2 linked regions of the Schizosaccharomyces pombe genome follow. The protein of the gene in region 1 interacts with the protein of each later gene in a pairwise test. Each region holds a gene or a part of one and is shown on either strand. Other genes may lie near its edges.

Region 1 (3,514 bases):
ATTCTCTCAGCTTTTATATAGTTGCGAAGAAGCATTTACTATTGCACAAATAGCCTTTCAAAATTCGAGTTGCCATGGTGTGAAAAACATGACCAACAGAGATTTTTGTATTAAGTTCATTGCTTATCCCTCTACCTTTCTTCAGAAATAACATTCACTCACATTCTGATAGTGCAAACAACCAACATTATAACTCAATGAATTAAACGAAATATAATAAGCTAAGCAACACGTAGTCAATTAAAAAAAATAAAAAAGTGCTATGAATGAAATCCTTTATTTTACAAACCTCTAAATGATGCTAAAGAAAAGCAATGACAAAAGTCAGAGCTACAGCCTCTCAAAGGTGAACACGTGGAGAACAAAATAAAACTACACTATTGCAGAAAACGACGGTATCACATCCAACTTACATTACAACATATCATAGGCAAACACTATAAGTACAAATATGACCTCGTGTGGTTTTATTTGCACATTAAACTCACTATTCCCTAGCTCGGCAGCAATTAAAGATTTTATTCATAGCAACAGGTCAGATGCTGCAAGTAGGAGTTGCATAGGAAATTGAAGGCGAAAGACTCTCTAGGAGTGAAAACATAAACCCCGTTAAACGAGATCCCACGAGTAGAAAGAAATGGGATTGACGAACAATTAACAAGAGATAAAAACAAGTATTGAAGTAGCTACACAATATACATTGCCAAGACAAATGCACTAGCTAAAAGCGAAACTTTTTGCATCTGGATGGCTTTAAATAGTTTTGACCAAGACGAAAAACATTTAGGAAAAGAAAACAAAACTTTTGAGTAGCAACGCAAAAATTGCTTTAAAACTATTGACTTTGAAACTGATCACTAAAAGAGGAGGGAAAATAAATCACACAAACTTAACGATACAATTACTCGTCCACAAGTCTACTGACGAAGAGGAAGAGGTATACGAAGAAAAATACAGCAAAACATGCCAGCTTGAAAAAGGATCGTTTTTGTCTAGAGGATACGTCTTTGAAGATGGTTGTAGAGTCGTGCATATGAGTGTTGGACATAATCATTTTGGCGTTCCAAGCCAACATGGGTACATTGAGAAGGAAGGTGATCCAAGCACCTGACAATAATAGAAGAAGGGCACTGAAAGCTTGAAAACCCATTTCTGGTAGTACATACCAGTTCAGTTTTCGAGACACTAAATAGGGAAAAAGATTAGTATATATACGAATCAGAGACATTTATCATTAATATATATCGTTAGAATGTGATTATTTTAACATACAATCAATGGGATTTATGAAATCGTCTTTCAAATCAGAGTACATCACTGTAAAGTACATCTGAAGCATGATATTTGCACATGTAAGCATAAGGCTGGTAAAATAAATCCAAGCAGACACCATTTTGGATGTTTAGACACTTATTTTGAGTTTTCAAACTTTTCTTTTCGATGGGTGTAATAAGATAACTTGTCACAACTCATTGATGGTAAAATGAGCGAACGAATCGTAACGACCACAAGTTCGAATCGCACTGTTGACATGAATCTTTACCAAATGGTAAGGGAACTCGAAAAATCTGGAAGTTTGGTTTTTATGTTTACTAATCAATTAGTACGTTAGTATATTTTTTATTTTTTATTTTAAAGAATGGGCTTCGATTGAATGATCGTAAAAAAAAGTGAATTCAAGAGTTCTATGCTAATATAAATCAAAGAGACGCATGCATGGACTATGAAACGTAAACACTTCAAGTAGAAGTAATCATTGTGTTATATTCTTTAGCTTTAAAACCGCTTTAGTTAATAAAATATATAGTCTGGGTTGAAAACATTTACAATTATTCACACTGTATAGAATTAAATAATTTTACGATAATTCGATCCTTAAATATCATCATCAACTTGTTCCTCTTAGTTGTAGAAACAATTCTTATGCGTTTTTTTCGTAAACAGTCGTCAAATATTAAACTATTTTTGTTTTGCAATAATTCAGCCAACATTCAATTGGCTTCTACAATGAACATTCATTCTTAAATTAAAATTTTCTAGAAGAATAGTATGAAGGTTTTTAGCTGTTAGGATACACAATTCAATTTGTTATATTGCTAGTGTACCACTTAGTGCACATCTCAATCATTTATAATGCTTCGTTCTTTCTCTATACTACACAAGTTACCATTGACTCGAGTGTTAATCAAATTGCAATTGTATATACGAAAAATATAAGCATAAAGGTGAGGCTCTGGAGAAACAAAAAGCTATTGTGACATTTTTTTGGAATACAAATAATTTTGAAAGTTTTTGGGAATTTCGCAAGGATTTCGAACCCTTATATAAGAATCGAATTACAGTCATTTAACTATTGATCATTTGGTACTTTTTTACTCTTTGGTTTTATTTAAATCTTTCAAAAGGATGACGGGCGCAACGTTAACTGTTCGAGTAATTCGCAACTTTGAATATCGGACACTGAAAAACGTCGTTTTCCACGACATAGATCTGGCCACTACGACTGTAGACCAGTTCAAAAAAATCATCGATGAACGCATACAAACGGATCCCTCATTGAAAATCTACCGTACTACCCATTTTGACACGTTGAAGATTTATGTGAAAGCCCAGCAGCACAAAACCCAAAACTTGGCTATTAATTTAGACCACGATGATTGGATTCTTAATGATGGAGCCAAAACATTGTCTCTTTGTGGAATTGAAAATGAAACTGAGTTGTCCTACTTTGAACTTGCTGCCTACAAGGCCTATCAAGCAAATCCTGTACAAAAATGGCTTTAGACATGCATAACTTTATTAAGAGTTCAATTGTTGGTGTTAGGAATAGGAGATGAGTTTACCTTTGTTATTTAAATTGAATATTTTTCAAACTACGCTAAAAAATTCCTGATGTCTTTATTAGTGCAACTATTTAAAATTACCTAGGTCGCTGTTGCAATTCATGTATTGACAATAGCAGAATGCATTGTAGTGAGCAAAAGTATGTAGAATAATAAATGATACAAAACAATACGCATTTTAAACCAAATGTTGTAAACATCGACTTTATGACTTGGTACCAATAGCACCAAGGACGTCCCTATCTACATATTTATATAAGAACAAAACATTTCTCATTCATCAAAACGCTACACCAATACTTAATAAAAAGTTATTTTAAAAACAAGCAAAAAAAGAGTTGCGCGGCCAGGTTTCGATCCTGGGACCTACGGGTTATGAGCCCGTCGGAGTTCCACTCTCCTACCGCGCACAAATACCGTCACCAGCAGGATTTGAACCTGCGCGGGCAAAGCCCATTAGATGACTAGAATACAGGATTCAAGTCTAACTCCTTAACCACTCGGACATAGTGACTTTAGCTGTACATTTATCATGAAATGTAATTTATATAGCCAAAATCAAAAATTTCTATGTAATTTTTGATAGGAAGTTTCCAATGCTCAAATGGTTGATTTCACAAAAGCATTGCTTTATGTTAAGAAAATATTGTTTTTGGTGTTAGAATATATTT
Region 2 (4,003 bases), 1.9 Mb from region 1:
AAACTCATCTCGTAAAGAAATTATACCTTTATTGCTCATATATAATCGTTTAGCATCCTCGTCTTCCTTAAACTTTTTGTCACAGAAAGTAATATATTCAGCCGTTACTTTTTTATATTTTGTGTAACTTGGCTTTTTACCAGATATTAACATTTTGGTGACTTCACGCCATTGACGAAACATGCCATACGGTTCTGGAAATTTATATTTGAAAAAGAAATCATTAGAAGATTGTTGCTCAAGAGATGAATGATCAGAATGACAACGAATAACAAACCCTTCGATTGCCCTGTTATTCCATTTGCCATCTTTAGAGGCATTTTCTAAAAAGGCTTTGAGCTCATGAATGCTATCCATAAAAAATGAAGAAACTTTCATAAATCCCCATTGTTCCGCAAATTCAGCAACTTCACAGGATGATGCAGTAATAAACTGCGGGCAATTCCGATTTAATCCATGCAGATATAGTCCACGAGAATTTCCAGTGTATGGAAGAATGTGCTCTTCAAACTCATCATCACAGAGTTCAGCCACAGCAGTCATGTCTCTACGAAGTAGTTCATGGGCCAGCTCTTGTTTAGTGCGACCAACACTTTGCAAATGTTTTTCAAGCCAACGTTCCCCAACGTTTGCATGAGAGACTGATTGTCCTTCCACAATACCTAAAGAATGCTTGCTAGAAACAATGATCTGTCCGTCTGGCAAAGCTGCAATAAATATGATACAACCATTTTCTTTGACTGTCAATTCATAAGGTCCTTTAGTGTGTTGAGAAAGTGCATCCCAAGTAGTAATAGGGACTTCATCAATATTAAAAAATTTATCGTACCCACGTATAACAATGCGATGTCTTTTACTTTCATAGTCATAGCCAGTAAACAAACCACGCGCGTTTGTAGGTAAAGTAATTCTATGTCCAGATATAGTATCAAAACATTTTTTGCTATTGGACACATTTAAACGAAATGCCTGTTCCCAGATCCTCCAAGAAGTTAAATCATAATTAGATTTGGGAGCTTTGAATGTAACTGATCTAACAGTTGATTTTTTTTCTCCGAATATGCAAACTCTTTGATCACGAGTCTACATAATTCTTGAACCAAATCTTCTGAATTATTAAAATTCAAAACCATAATTTTTTAAGAAAAAATAATAAAGCAAAAGCCTTGAATTCAACGAACTTCCTTTGACTGAATGCTCTACAGAAAAATAAGCAACTATGTATTTTTGGAAGAAATCAATAAAGGAAGAAAAACATAAGCTTTTCTCAGCAGTTGGCCGGAAGAAGCAACTACACTGATTTGAAAAGAGTAGAGCGAAAGACAAAAACTAATTTATTTCTGCTCACAGTTAAGCTTGGTATATGGAAGCAACATTAGTTACGGTAGATTCTATTATGTCTCAGTAAAATCTATTTACAAATTCAAAAATACCTGATAAATCTTGATCTACTAATTAAAGCGAGCACGTATTTATTTCTACTTATCAATAATAAACGGGTTGTTTTTTCATTGATATAATGTTTTGTCTTCTACCTTCTGTGCAAGCTTTAATAAGTTAACAAATTAGCTGAAGTTACAAATCTTTACTTCGTTTTAGCAATAGCATTTTCAAAAGTAAAAATTCCAGCTGTTAAGAATTCCGATAACATTTTACATATGGATGTAACCAACATTATTATTCATTAGCAAACAAAAAATTCGGTTAGTTTTTAATCATGCTAGCTGTTGATAAATGGTTTCAGGAATTAAACGGAAAGTCATTGCAAACACTAACCGTAGCAAATAAATTTCAAATCATAAGTCAAAATAACGTTTTTCTACGTTTTGTGAGCCACTCTCTTGCAGTGCGTTACTCAAATGTATCCAGAACAGCGGAAAATTAAACGAAAATTGATGAAGATAGATTTCAAGCGTCGGCATTTTTGATACATTAATTGTCTACTTACAAGGTCGGTTGAATAGACAATTTCCGCATTAGGGGCTACTAGGCTATCCATCTGTGCAATATTTATTACCATTTTTAAACCACAACACCACATATCTCTTTGCAAGGTTATTAGCCATATATTTTATTGTGTCCTCGTCCAGCAAGAATATTATCTTCGGATGTCCAAAGTAATAAAGTCATAAAAAACCTCATAGCTAGTACTAATCGATTTTTTTTTAAGCTTAGTGATTATTGTGGCACCATGACTAACACAATTGATTCATTCCAAAAAGGCTCCGCATTAGAAAACTATAACATATGGATCGATTGCGATCCTGGACATGACGATGTTGTCGCCTTAACATTGGCTGCTTGCGCTGGACATTGTAAAATTTTGGGTGTTAGTACCGTACATGGTAATACAACGCTAGAATTTACTACCAAAAATGCTTTAGCGGTAATGGAGCTTTTAAATCAAGATGTTGATGTTCATGCTGGCGCAGCGAAGCCCTTGATGCGCGAGTCCGCGTTCGCTACTCACATACATGGTACGAATGGGCTTGCAGGGATTTCATTGCTTCCTGATTATCCCAAAAAGAAGGCTACTCCTGATGCGGTGTTCGCTATGTATACCACTATTTCTAATTATCCAGAGCCTGTCACTCTCGTAGCTACCGGTCCTTTGACAAACATTGCATTGTTATTGGCAACGTACCCAAGCGTTACCGACAACATAGAAAGGTTTATATTTATGGGTGGTAGCACAGGCATTGGAAATATTACTTCTCAAGCAGAATTCAACGTGTATGCTGATCCTGAGGCAGCTAGGCTCGTTTTAGAGACTAAATCACTTATCGGCAAACTATTTATGGTGCCGCTAGATGTCACTCATAAAGTACTTTTAGATGCAAACATTATTCAGTTACTGCGTCAACATAGCAACCCATTTAGTTCCACACTGGTAGAATTGATGACTGTCTTTCAACAAACTTATGAAAATGTCTACGGAATTCGAAACGGTGTTCCCGTTCATGACGTTTGTGCTGTTGCTTTGGCGCTGTGGCCATCTCTGTGGACCTCGCGTTCTATGTATGTGACTGTAAGCTTAGATTCTCTCACTCTTGGTCGCACTGTCTGTGATGTATGGTCGCAACAAAATCAGTATCCGGCTAATGTTCATGTTGTTTTGGAAGCTGATGTTTCATTATTTTGGGAGACGTTTATTGGAGTTATAGACAGGCTCAATTATTTGTAGTATATTTATGACATTATCGACTAGTGTTTTATGTTTATTTTTTACAACGATCAAGTTCTCCCTTCATTTTCAATTTTGAAAGCACTTCAAGCATTCATCATGCCCTCTTATATCATCCATTGGAAATACAAAACCAAATACTTTCTTTTTTACTCAAAGAAGTACGTTTATACTTTTGCATTGCATATAGTTTTATAAAATCTTAGACTATAAAAATATCATTATTTGAATTTAAATACTAACAACAAAGTATGTATAAATAAATGCTTAATTATAAACAAAAGGGTGTACGAGTAAGTGATAGGTTCGTAGAATTGTCAATAGCATCATTTTGGCAAATAAAATCAGTAGACGCCAAGTTGGTCTTTCATAGTACATTAATAAGGCACTTTAAAAAAGCTCAATATGAACAACCAGAACGTATTATATTCTTAAGTCGAAGAAAAGGCTTAAAAATACTAGAATTAATGTGCCAATTTTATAGTCCTATGTACAAGTAGCTTGAGAATATTTTCTGAAAACAAATTCAAGAAAAAAGGGAAGATAAGAATAAATGTAATAGCAAAACAAGAATAAAGTATACAAAGACATTATATTTATGGTCATATAGGGTGGAGAAAGTAGCTACTCATCACCAGACGCGGAAGAGGCTTCACTAGTTGTCTTGTCAGAAAAATTACCATGATCAACAGAGGCTTTCTCCTCGTGATCTGCTTCAGTTTCCTCACCAGTAGGTTCTTCTTTGACAGGAGTTTCTGTGGTAGCTGATTCGTCATCTTTTTCAATTTCCTCTTCTTTAACAGTATTCTTTTTAACTTT

The links.
Region 2: the proteins of aim29 (region 1) and urh2 interact in a two-hybrid assay, tested with the Schizosaccharomyces pombe proteins (one large-scale study listed by BioGRID).

The regions. Positions count from the first base shown.
Region 1 is NC_003424.3:4,264,992-4,268,505, reverse strand, and holds aim29 (protein aim29), read left to right. Parts: upstream 1-2,158; 5' UTR 2,159-2,406; coding exon 2,407-2,784; 3' UTR 2,785-3,001; downstream 3,002-3,514. Other genes in the region: cor1 (cornichon family protein), read right to left, coding at 902-1,185, 1,273-1,393.
Region 2 is NC_003424.3:2,342,624-2,346,626, forward strand, and holds urh2 (uridine ribohydrolase), read left to right. Parts: upstream 1-1,897; 5' UTR 1,898-2,191; coding exon 2,192-3,184; 3' UTR 3,185-3,421; downstream 3,422-4,003. Other genes in the region: negative cofactor 2 complex subunit Bur6, read right to left, coding at 3,809-4,003.